3 linked regions of the Oryctolagus cuniculus genome follow. The protein of the gene in region 1 binds, or shares a complex with, the protein of each later gene. Links are inferred from orthologs where the notes say so. Each region holds a gene or a part of one and is shown on either strand. Other genes may lie near its edges. The genes, in order: EGLN1, EPAS1 and HIF1A.

Evidence for each region.
Region 2: the proteins of EGLN1 (region 1) and EPAS1 are in contact, whole or in part, in a crystal structure (PDB 7Q5X), measured with the Homo sapiens proteins. The link is inferred for Oryctolagus cuniculus from reciprocal best matches to the Homo sapiens genes EGLN1 and EPAS1. Residues at the interface, in NP_071334.1 of Homo sapiens: Gln239, Leu240, Val241, Ser242, Lys244, Ile251, Arg252, Trp258, Asp277, Ile280, Arg281, Ile292, Asn293, Gly294, Arg295, Thr296, Lys297, Tyr310, Val311, Arg312, His313, Val314, Asp315, Pro317, Asn318, Asp320, Arg322, Arg370, Trp389, Tyr390; in NP_001421.2 of Homo sapiens: Asp525, Leu526, Glu527, Thr528, Leu529, Ala530, Pro531, Tyr532, Ile533, Pro534, Met535, Asp536, Gly537, Glu538, Asp539, Phe540, Gln541, Leu542.
Region 3: the proteins of EGLN1 (region 1) and HIF1A are in contact, whole or in part, in a crystal structure (PDB 3HQR), measured with the Homo sapiens proteins. The link is inferred for Oryctolagus cuniculus from reciprocal best matches to the Homo sapiens genes EGLN1 and HIF1A. Residues at the interface, in NP_071334.1 of Homo sapiens: Gln239, Leu240, Val241, Ser242, Gln243, Lys244, Ile251, Arg252, Trp258, Lys262, Asp277, Ile280, Arg281, Ile292, Asn293, Gly294, Arg295, Thr296, Lys297, Tyr310, Val311, Arg312, His313, Val314, Asp315, Pro317, Asn318, Asp320, Arg322, Arg370; in NP_001521.1 of Homo sapiens: Leu559, Glu560, Met561, Leu562, Ala563, Pro564, Tyr565, Ile566, Pro567, Met568, Asp570, Asp571, Phe572, Gln573, Leu574.

What each region holds. Positions count from the first base shown.
Region 1 is NC_091444.1:50,885,177-50,888,135, reverse strand, and holds part of EGLN1 (egl nine homolog 1), read left to right. Parts: intron 1-1,582; coding exon 1,583-1,650; intron 1,651-2,717; coding exon 2,718-2,782; 3' UTR 2,783-2,959. UniProt on the Homo sapiens protein: Cellular oxygen sensor that catalyzes, under normoxic conditions, the post-translational formation of 4-hydroxyproline in hypoxia-inducible factor (HIF) alpha proteins.
Region 2 is NC_091433.1:156,440,487-156,444,575, forward strand, and holds the start of EPAS1 (endothelial PAS domain-containing protein 1), read right to left. Parts: upstream 2,881-4,089; 5' UTR 2,289-2,880; coding exon 2,263-2,288; intron 1-2,262.
Region 3 is NC_091451.1:8,816,795-8,821,025, reverse strand, and holds the start of HIF1A (hypoxia-inducible factor 1-alpha), read left to right. Parts: upstream 1-1,376; 5' UTR 1,377-1,475; coding exon 1,476-1,510; intron 1,511-4,231.

The sequences.
Region 1 (2,959 bases):
CAGAGAGAATCTTTTCTCTTGGATCCCATCCCTCGTCCTGAAGCTCAGTGCCTGCCTCTACCTCCCACTGCAGACTCTTTAAATGTTTTCTGACCCAGAAACTGCTTCATAGACCTTCTTTTCAATGAGATTTTGAGCTTGGTTTGATTGTATCCTTTTTAGATGAATAAATAACAGTTTGAAATAGTAAATCAGTGTCAACTCGTGTGGAACATAAGTACTCTGGGACCTGAGAGAAAGAGGAGGTGGTGTTAGACTGAGCAGTAAAGAGGCCAGAAGCCCAGCCGCGTTAGTGCAGCTCTGAGAAAGGGCAAGATCGTCCTAGTCGTGGTGAGGAAATTTGTGAGGAAAACGATAAGGCTGGCGAGTGAGAACGGCAGGTGGTGGGTTACAGTTGTTTCCTGGTAAGGACTTGGGGCTATGGTGGGAGGTGATCCAGAAATTAGAACTCTTGATTACTAAGTCACATGGACAGAAGACAGATATATCTGAGCCCTTTCCTATTACCAAGGCCACCAGAAAAAAATAGAAGAGGCCACCTGGCAAGAAAGGTGTTGAACTCTAGACAAAGCAGAGTGTGGCAGTCAGCAGACCCGTCTCTGATCGCAGCTCTGTCCTTCTCCAGTGAGAGATCCGCACCTCAGTCTCCTCGAGTTGTCCAGGTGCTCAGGTTCTGACTCAGCTCTGCATTTGGCTGTTTACTTCAATATGCTTCCTGGTTTAGTTTTGTCACATATACGGGGTCATCATTCGATCATGCTTGCCCCCCATGACCATTGACTAGAATTTGTAAGATATTTTAACTAATTGTTGCACTCTACTGAAGAATTAACGATTTGTGCCATGCCCTCAATTTTATAGTGTCTGTACATTTTCCCCCTTGCTCCTATCAGAAGATCTAACATGTACTATTTTATAAACTGGTGATGCCTCATTTATTTTTGGAATAAGATAGTCCAATTAAGTGTAATTTTCTGAAAAATGAAGTTAGCTACACTTTAAACCTCAGAACATAGTATAATTGTTTTGATAAAAATTCTAGAAAAGTCTTAGTATAATTTAACTCCTCTTGATGACTCAGGTTATAATTAAAAACATCCATCATTCCACTTTGCTATAATGTAATATGATATTCTCAGAAGCTTTTGAGACTTACTCTCCTTTCACTAAAGGCCCCAGGCTGCTGTGTATGGAATCCTTTTCTGTTTCTCACTTTTTCATTTAGTACTTCTGCTATGGATAATGTGCTGTTTCTGTAATAGCCATTCTTTTACCCTTTTGTTATCTGTTTCTGCTCTGTGGTGGGGTTGCAAAAAAGATAGTCAAGCAGTTTAAACAGATGTTTAAAAAGTCATAAATACTCAACTTTGTGACATCAATTTTAGCCTCTCCTGGTTCTCTGCTATACTCTTCAGTGTTGAGGCTACTGGAAAAGTGAGTTGTTGTACTCATTTGTCCTTTAGTATCATTCAAGTTTAGGCATAATTTTGGCATCACAAGTTTTAATATACCATCATAACAGCATACCACTACCCTACCCCCCAATGTGATCATTCTTACCCTATTCTAAATTTTCTTTTAGGTACGCAATAACTGTTTGGTATTTTGATGCAGATGAGAGAGCACGAGCTAAAGTAAAATATCTAACAGGTAAACATCATTTGGGGCCAGGGTATACTGGAACAAAAGTACCCTGCCATCAGGTGGTGCTTTCAGTAAATTCAAGTATAGTCTTTTTTAACACCATGAATAATTCTTGTTTTTGTCAGATTCATTAATTCCCTTTCTTAAAAAAGGACTTCCCTTAATGTCATCTTCATTATTATATTTAGCCTACAAAATTGCCAAAAGATTAGGAAAGTTTGAGGCAAAATCTGAGTAATTATTCAGTTATCGTCCAAGTTTTTCTGTGATTATCCTTTTCAGTCACAGGGGACTTGACTCTTGTTAATGGCCATCTGGCTACCTCTCGTTTGCCCCCAAGAAGGCAGTAAATATCCTTTCCTTTTTTAAGCATACATACTCTTAAAAAATATCCTCGATCTTCCATGTTCAATAGGGACATGAAGAAAGTTAATATAAAGGAGGTAAATTGAAATGCCAAAATGAGTGAATCAGCTTAGGCATGTGGACTGCATTATCTCCAGTGGTATACACAGACAGGTCAGCACACTTGTACCGAACCTGAAGATTCTTCGTTACACCAGTTCTCCTCTGCCCCCGCTCATGGACTCTCTCTTCTAGAGCAGTTGGTCTCAGTTTCCCATCTGATGGACCACTCGCTTTCTTTTCTTTAACCCTACCTGTATATCCAAAAGTCCATTAAGTGTTCACATTACTGATTAGCCATATTTTCATGAGCCATTGATAATCCCACTTCAGGCTTTTATAAACAACATACAAATTGAATGTTGATGGATTTTCTATGTATTTTTAAAGTAGTTATTTGTGGCAGAGCCCACAAATAATTGCTTTTTAAAATAAAAAGGAGACGAAATCATTCTCTATACAGAGGATGGTTTTACCCTTAAAGGTTTTACTAGTTGAAATGAATGCCTTCATCATAATAGAACACCACTGATAACATTTGGAAGTGCAAGTATAAAAGTTTTCAGATGATGTTGGTCCATACTGTTGGGAATTCAGTGGGAAGCAGTAGCAGAAGCTCTCTGGTGCCTAATGAATAAATGAATTTTATCTATTTTTTTACCTTGCAGGGGAAAAAGGAGTGAGGGTTGAACTCAATAAACCTTCTGATTCAATCAGTAAAGATGTCTTATAGAGCCTCTCATCCAGCAATACCCTCAGTTCACTACAATAATTGTTGACACTGTTTGTTAACTTGTGAATACAAATAAATGGGATAAAGAAAAACAGACAACCAGTCGGCATTTTAATAAGGAAAAGATACAACTGCTTTGTGTTGCATCAAACAGGAAGATTTTGACTGCTGTGACTT
Region 2 (4,089 bases), on another chromosome or scaffold:
GGAAAGACAACAGAAATACAGCAGATGCAGAGCAAGTATTTATTAAAAGAAAAACTGTCCGGCAATATTTTTCCTTTCAGAGTAGGATAAAAGATGGAATCTGACTTTTCTGGAGCAGAGGAATAACCAAGTCCAGTGTGTGTGTGGGGGGGGGGCAGTTGAAAAACTTCTGGTACAGATGCCTCTGATTCGCCTTCCACCCGTGCGCAGCGCGGAGCAAAAGGTGCCTGTATCTGGCGCTGGCTTGGCGACCGGACTCTGATCCGGGATTATCCAAGGATCTCAGCCCCTTGGCGTCACAAGGCTCCTGGGAGGCAGCCCTTTTCAGCCCAGCGGGAAATGGACCACTCCTTCCATGGATGGTAAGGGGCGCGCGGCCGGTCCCGCCACGCTGAGACTCTGAAGCCCAGGCAGGGCACACAGGGCAGCCCCCAGGCAGCCTGAAGCCCTCGAAACAGCCTCCACGGCTTTCGCAGTTGGCCCCGCAGTGGTTCTTAAAGCGGCCACCCTCGTCAGAGCTGTGCAGTGGGATTATGCAACTTGGCCCCGGCTCCCATTCTGGCTCCCTTCACCCCTCGGCCGGTGCTAACAGAGGTGGCACTGTAACCCGGCATGTCGCAAGCATACCCCACTTCCGAGTTTCACGCGACTGTTAATATTCACAATAGCACTGGAGCTGGCGCTAAGGAGCGCGTAGACGCGGACACTCCACGCATCCGTCCCACCAGCGACTACCGGGCCACAGCCATCAGGCCGCCCCTCGGCGACGGCGCCGGTCCACATCGCAGCTGTGAAACGCACAAGTCCCCTGCCCACTCCGCAGCCCCGCGCGCTAGCAGAGGGGCTGCCCAGAGCTTTGGGTTTCAGTGTCCCGCAGTCATCACTGGCACTTTCCTCAGGTTCACCAAACGCATCGGGAGCTCGCCCAGGTTTTGTCGCGCTAAAAAGACGCACGGCTCCAGGGACGCCCCCCGAGGGTCCCAGGACCGTGCTGCTACCGTTTCCGGGGACGCTGGAGGGGGCTGTGGCCGGGAAGGGGGTGCGGGGCTCTACTGCCTCTTTCTAGCGACCCGCGAGCGAAGGGCCGGGCGCCCCGCCAGGACGGGTGCGATTTGCTCGCTTTTATCTAGTCCTTATCATGCCCCGAGGTGGGAGCCGCCGCTTTCGACCCGAGGATACAGGGCTTCTGGCTCGCGTCCCGCATCGGAAGTCGGCACCACAGCAAATAGACGCGGGCACGGAGTCCTGCGGGTCAGCCCTCCCCTACCCACACCGCCTCGCTGGCGCCTCGTCGCGGGTCCCCGGCGGCTCGGGCCGGCCGGTCGCCGCCTCGAGCGCGCGGGTCTGAAAGCCGCAGTTCCCAGGGACAGAGATGGGGAGAACGGAGCAAGGCGGCGAGGCGTCCGCCTTCGCTGGTGCTGAGGCCGTACCCGGGACTGAGCGGCCGCTCCTGCCCTCGCACGCCGAGGCTCGGCCGGGAGTGGCCGGGAGGGGGCAGGAGGGCCGAGAGAGTCGGCCGAAGTCGCCTCTCACCCAGTGCCGAGAGGCTCGCGAGGGCAGGAGAGCAGATGGTGGCTGTCCTTTCCTGTCCTCTTGGGAGACGGACATCGGACTTGCCCTGGGCGCCCCATGTCGTCATCTCCTCCCCGCACACGGAGACACCTGTCCCCGAAGGGCAGTACAGCCCACTACCCACTTTCCGGCGGGGTAAAGGTGTGGGGACGGAGAAGGGGTTCTCCAAAGCTTTGGCGAGGGTTGGCGGCGGGGAGGGGGGGGGTCTCCTGGCGAGCGGGGCCCTGCTCCTTGGCCAGGGGCGCAGTCCAGGGGCTGCGCTCTGCCTCCCGCCCCTTGGGGCACAGCAGGGGCATGGGAACGCATTTGGAAGGACCCAAGGGTTCAGAGAAAAGCGTGGATGCTGCCCCCGCACGTGAGACCAGATAAAGTGGAGGGCATCCCCCCAGGGCCATTTCAACTTGCTAGTCGAGGCAGGGTGGCATACAGGAACCTGAGATTTGGAAGACACCGCGGGAAGCGCCTCGCTACTCCGCGGCCGGCCGTCGCCCTCGGCCTCCTAGCACTAGCGGCCCCGCGTCTCCGTGGGGCCACAGAACCCTCCGCTGCGCAAGCACAGCTCCACGTCCCTACTCGGCACACCTGCTCTTAAGACCAGCCACGCCGATCTTCCGCACTCCTCTGCCAAGCGCTCGCGCGGTCCGGCCACGGCTTCAGGCCAGCTCTCCCCTGGCGCTGACGCCAGCTTACCTTTTCTTCTCCTTGTCAGCTGTCATTGTCGCCACGGCCGCCGCAGACGCCGAGCGCCTGAGTTCTCCGGCCAGAGAAGGATGCAGCCGCTGCCTTCGCGCTGGTCCTCGTGGGCTTCCTGGGGCCCGGGACACAGTGAAAGATCCTAAGTGGTTGCAGGTGCCGAGCGCCGCGCGCAGTCAGGTGGAAACTTGCGGGCGGCCAGATAGGTGCGGGGCCAAGGGGTGGAGAGAGGTGACGGGGAGGAACCTGCACGCGGAGGCGGGGTCGGGAAAGGGGTGGGAAGAGGTTGTCAGCCGCGAGAAGGGATCCCAGGTTCCCTCTTCCCTAGAGCAGGAGTCGCTTTTCTGGGTTTTCCTAAAAGAAGTTGCCCAAGCGACTGGCGTTGGCAGGAGTCCGGGCCGGGCTGGCGCGGCCGCTGAGATGACCATACAGTCTCAGGACACTGCCGAGGATTGTACGGCCGCCTCAGGAGAGTTGGGGCGGAGCGCGGCGAGCGCCGAGGCTGTGCAGCTGGCCGCTCCCCGAAGTGCGGTTCCAGCAGCTGCCGGCCCACTTTAAAACTCCAGCGGGCTGCCAGCACGGGGGCGGTGCGAGGGGCGCGGGCGCGGGGGCGGGGGCGGGCGCGCGCCGGCAGGCCCCGCCCCCGCCCGGCCCGCCCGCGCCCCGCCGCGCTGCGCGCCGCGCGCCGGGCAGCCCACTGCGCCCCGGCCAATGGGGAGGCGCGGCCGCCGCCTCTGCCCTGACCCCGGCCCGCCCCCTGCCCTCGCCCGCCCCGCCTCCTCTCTCCGCAGACCTGGGAGTTGTTTTTGAGATCGAGGCTGAGGGGAGGTCGATGTGGGATGGGACCCCCGCCGCCAGGGAGGCACAACTTGTGCGGAGCTAAACGGCAGCCCGGATCCGGCCCTCGGGAGCGCGGGGGAGAGCGGGAGTGCGCCACCGCGTCGAGGCCCTTCCGACCCCGCCGTGCCCTTGGGTGTAGGGCAGGACCGCGAGTGCAGAGTGTCCCGCGCCCGCCGGGCCTTGCACAACCCCTGCCCTCTGCTGCGCTCCCGCATCCCCGTCCCCGCAGCCTGGGGCAGTCATTCCGAGGACCCTGGCGGCCGCGTCCTGCCTGGCGAACGATGACTGTGCCGTGAAATTGGGCTCAGGGTGCGCCTACTCGTCCCTCCCCTCGGCCAACACCTGAGTACTTTGCAGGGTTGCACCGGGCTGTGTGATTATGGCGCTGGGCGGTGGAGGGCCCTGGAGCCGTGGGGCCTGCCGCCTCCCGCTCTCTGTACCCCCGAACCAACGCGCGGATCCTGGAGAGGTCAGCGTTGGAGAAGTCAGCCAGGCTGCCCAGTGTGGTCTTGGGGACAGATTTGGCTGCGTGTCCTCCAGTCGCTCGATTTCGGGCTTGGCCCCCGTGTCTCTGGGGTTCCATTGCAGTCTTAGGAGCGCAGAGGCTACAGGTGTTGAGAGCCGGGCGCTCCCAGGACTCCTGCATGTGGTTGGAGCTCGGGACTGCCCAGCGCGCTTCACAAGTAGCCTGCGCCCTGCGCCGGGCCCAGGTGCGCATCTGGGGTGCGCGCCTCTGCCCCGCGCTGAGCAGCTCTCCAGCTCTGCACCTGCGTTACGCAATTCGGCACCGGCCCCTCGGGAAGGGGCACGGGAAGCCCCTAGTTTCCGCATACCGGGGAAGGGCCCATGGGCTTTGTGGTTATGAGTTTTAAAAGGGCTGGTTCCGCCCTGGGACCCGAGATCATCGTGTAGGACCTGGCTTGAGCCTCTCGCCACGTTTGGTGTCGGAATAATCTGCATAAAGCGATGGGCAGGGGGAGGGTC
Region 3 (4,231 bases), on another chromosome or scaffold:
CGCAGAGTTAGACTGTGACAACCAGGCAAAGGTGCAGTAAAATACCCTGATGTCCACCGGGGAGGGATACGCAGTGGCTCTTTGTGGAGCTCAAAATATGTTTTTTTTTTTTTTAAAGACTTGAGAGGCTTGAAATGTATGGTTCTAAAGACAAAAAAGTGCTTAAGTTTTGTTCCGTAACTCGCAGTCCTGTCAGCAAACAGGCAGTGCTAGCCAGCACCGTCGTGCCCGGTTCCTTCCAACCCGGCGGGCTCTGGCCCATGCCCCGGAGGCAGCCTGGGTTCCGGACTCGGTCTACACCGCGAACGCAACTCAAGGAGACTCTTCTGAATCCACGCAAGATCGTCTTGCAAAAGCGCTAAGAAAGCACAAAGAAAAGTGTGCCTAAAGCCATTTTTCCGACCCTCCCTGAAATGCAGGTTTATATATTCTCGCTTCTGAAAGCCGTTTCTACAGTAACTTCACACCTTCCTTCCTCGGAGAGAGGCGTGCAACAACGGGTCTGTGAGGTTTTCCCTGGCATTAACTTAAACAAGTTCGCGACAGAACGCCTCAGGGGCCCCGCGGGGTCCCCCGTGCCGTGCGGCAGAGCGCGGGCAGCCTGGCAGGAAGGCCGCGCCGCAACGCGTCCGAGCGGGGAGACCCGGGGGGCTCGCGCCCAAGCCGCCAGGGCTGCGCTTTCCCACAGGGAACTCGGCTACGCCGCCTGAGGGGAGCGCGGGAGCGGGAAAACGTGATGCAACCTCGGGCCCGGGCAGCCGCCAACTCCCCTCAGCAGCGCCTCCCGCAAGCCCGCCGCCGCCGTCCCCAGCGGCAGGCGCTGGGTGCCCCCTAGTCCCGGCGCAGACGCACCCCCCAACGCCTTTCTCTCCGCCCCGGCCGCACACAGACGGGCACGTGAGCGCCGCGGCGCGTCCCAGCTGTGCCTCAGCTGAGCGCCTCCGGATTGGCTGAGAGCGACGTGGGCTGGGGTGGGCACTGGCCGCCTGCGTCGCTCGCCATTGGCTCCCGAGCAGCCCGCCTCCCCCTCAGGTGAGGCGGGCCTGCGGGGGCGCGCGCGCGCGCGCTGGGCTCGGCGGGCAGGCGAGGGGCGGGGGCGCGCGCTCCCGCCCCGCCCCTCCCCTCCCCGCGCGGCCGGGCGCGCCTCCGCCCTTGCCCGCCCCCTGCCCGCTGCCTCAGCTCCGCCGAGCGCAGAGCCGCCTCGTCTGAGGGGACGCGAGGACCGTCCTCGCTGCCGAGTGGGCCCAGCGCGTCGGGCCGGGCCGTGACAAGCAGCCTGCGCGGAGGCTCGCGCCGGACTCCGCGCTCGCCGCCCCGCTCTGCTCTGCGAGGAGCTTCCCGCCTCGCACCCCTCCCCCGCCGCCGCCCCCACCCGGACTTGCTCTGCTCTCTCCGCGTGTGCAGGGAGCCGGCGCTTAGGCCGGAGCGAGCCTGGGGGCCGCCGGCCGGGAAGGCATCGCGGAGACCGAATCGCCATGGAGGGCGCCGGCGGCGCGAACGACAAGAAAAAGTAAGCCCCTTCCCCGCCCGCCCGCCCGCCGGGCCGCGGCGCTCCCGGGGTGGGTCGCTGGGCGGGCGGGGGTCGCCCGGCCTTTTTTTTTGTTGTTTCTGCCTCCTCTCCCCTCCCCTCTCTTTCCCCCAACCTCGCCGGCCGGGCTCCCCCGCTGTCCACGTCGCCATCTTGTCGTGGGGGGTGGGAGACGCCTCGAAAGTGCTTCCAGGGGGCCGGGGGTCTGCACGCCGCCGCCGCCGCCGCCCCCAGCCGGGGCTGCGGGGGTCCTCGCGCCGCCCCCCGCGCCCGCCGCGGAGCCCCAGCCTTGCGGCGCGGCCCCGTCCGGAGGGGACTTCGCCCCAGCCTGGAAGCCGAGCCCGCAGCTCGGCGCCGCCGCTCGCACCCGGAGCTTCCGCTCCCTCCCGGTGGCGGGGAAGGCGCGGGCCGGGCGCCCCGCACGCTGGCCGCGGCTCGCCGGCGGGTGCGGGGCCCCGGCGGCCGCGGCTGGGCTGGCCCTTGCGGCGGTCCCGCCGCGGCGGGTGTCGCTGCCTTTGTGCCGTGGTGGGGGGATTGGCCGCGGCGGCCTTCGGATGCTAACTTTTTAGTTTGCACGTGCAGGTTTTGTTTTTCGTTTTGTTGTTTTAATCGGCTGGAAAAACTTGCCCAGACTTGGGAGTCGGAGTAACGGGAATTGGGGGGCACATCGCCAGGCTGTAGCGGGAACTTGGGAAGTGGAGACTTGGGATCCAGGGAGCCCAGACGATGAGCAGGAATCCGTGCCTCATTCATTCCCGAAAATATCTTGGTGAAAATGTAACGGGCGGCTTCGATTTAGGCAGACAGTGTCAGTGAGGTTGAAAAGCGAAGTAGATGACCGGAGCAAACGAAATGCAACACTAAAGTGTTGGAGGATTTTTTTTTTTTCAGAACTGTCTCGTTTTCCTGATATTTTAATATATTTGAAGGAAACCATCAGCACATATCCAGATTGTGTTGGGACTTAAAGCAAGTTTATTGAACAGCGTGAAGTGTAAGAGGGGTACATTATAGAAAGATTAAGAATGGTGGAACCCGTGGTATTTACAGTACCCCCCTCCCTATTTTCTCCACTTTGGTATTTTCACCGTTGAGGAAATTATTTTAAGGAATTGAGGATTTATATAGTAGGAGTAGTAACGTAGGCTGGCTTTACTGTTAAGTCCTTCCACTCTTATGGGAGAGATTAACTTCTCTAATCAGTATGAGCGGAAGATAAACTTGTTTATATCCTTGCTGTTTTGTAGATTCTTTATCTTGGTCCCTATTCAATAGAATGTAAAATTCTCAGTTTATATACACCGGGGAGAGAGCACTTACACAATTTAAAACATGAGCACACAAGTCTAGATTTAATTTCAAGAGTTAACCAGGAATTAATTGCAATTAATTTTGCAGAAGTGATTACAGTGTTTTTGATGAAATGAAGAGGCTGCTATATTGTAAACCAAAGGCAGATTACCTCTGTGTAGTGCCAATTTTCCGTCCTTATTATATACTGAATCATAGTTACCACAATGCATTAGGTTGTGTACCAGTCACTTCCTTTTTATATGTAATACTTTACTGATTTCTTCTTTGCTATTCTTCAGTTAATACCAGAAGCCACTGTAAAATAAGTGAGTGAATAAATTAGCAACTACTGCGCACCAGCCCCAGCGCTAAATGAATTCTTTGGTTTTCCCCATTCCCATTGTTATTTTCAAAATTTTCTCATTTGAAAACTTAACCACCTGGGATCGAATGTAGTCGTAACACTTAATATGGAGATTCTTAATATAACTGAAATTTTAAGTTAAACAGTAAATAGTGATTACTCAGCAACTTTTGGATGATGTTAATTAAAAATGCCCTTTCCTGACTAATATTTCTTCAAGTTTTTGAAAGGTAACAGATTGAGGTGGAGATTTTCTTCTTGGAATTTTCCCAGTTTTAGAGGAGGACAAGGCAGCTGAAAATCAGAATTGAAAGAAATCAGAGCAGAGTGGTGTGGTTGTAATAGATTTAACAGGGAGTTTCATGTTGATTCCTTAGTTGTAGGTGCTGGACTTACTGAGAGCACAAGGATAATAGGGGTTTTTAGATTCAAAAGGAATGGCAGGAGGTTCTGTTTTTAGGCTTCAGGTCAGGTTCCTTCAGAGTTTTCCAAAACAAATAATTACTGGAGCATTGTAGTGAAATCTCTGAGAATAAACATTTCTAAATTTTCTTTTTTAACCTTGGCCACTAAGAGTCATTTATTAGTAAACTTTTGTTGTTGCAGTTTGACTTGTTTATAACAGCAGCAGGGCTAGAGATGAAGAGTGTAGAAGCTGGAGGCCTGAATCTCTGAGTTAGAGTGCCAGCCTTTCCACTTGTGAATTGGGCAAGTCCTGAATGCGTCCATGCCTAACTTTTCCTTTTGATGATAAGAAGCAGCCATCTTAACAGTTAATATGTATGGGAAATGAGATCATGCATGTAGAACACTTAGCCCAGGGTCGGGAATGGGGGAGTCTTGGTAACAGTTTGTGTACTTCCTAGTAAATGTTACCTGTTTAAGCTTTAAGTTTGAACTTCCACCACCCTTAAAATGCTTTTTGTAAGTTCTTCCAAATATTTCTTTCAGTTTCTCTTCTGTCTTCATGCATCTTTTCTGTATCTCCAAAAAATGAAAAAACTAACATTCAATTTGGATCTTGAAAAGAGTTCTTTCCTGTTAAA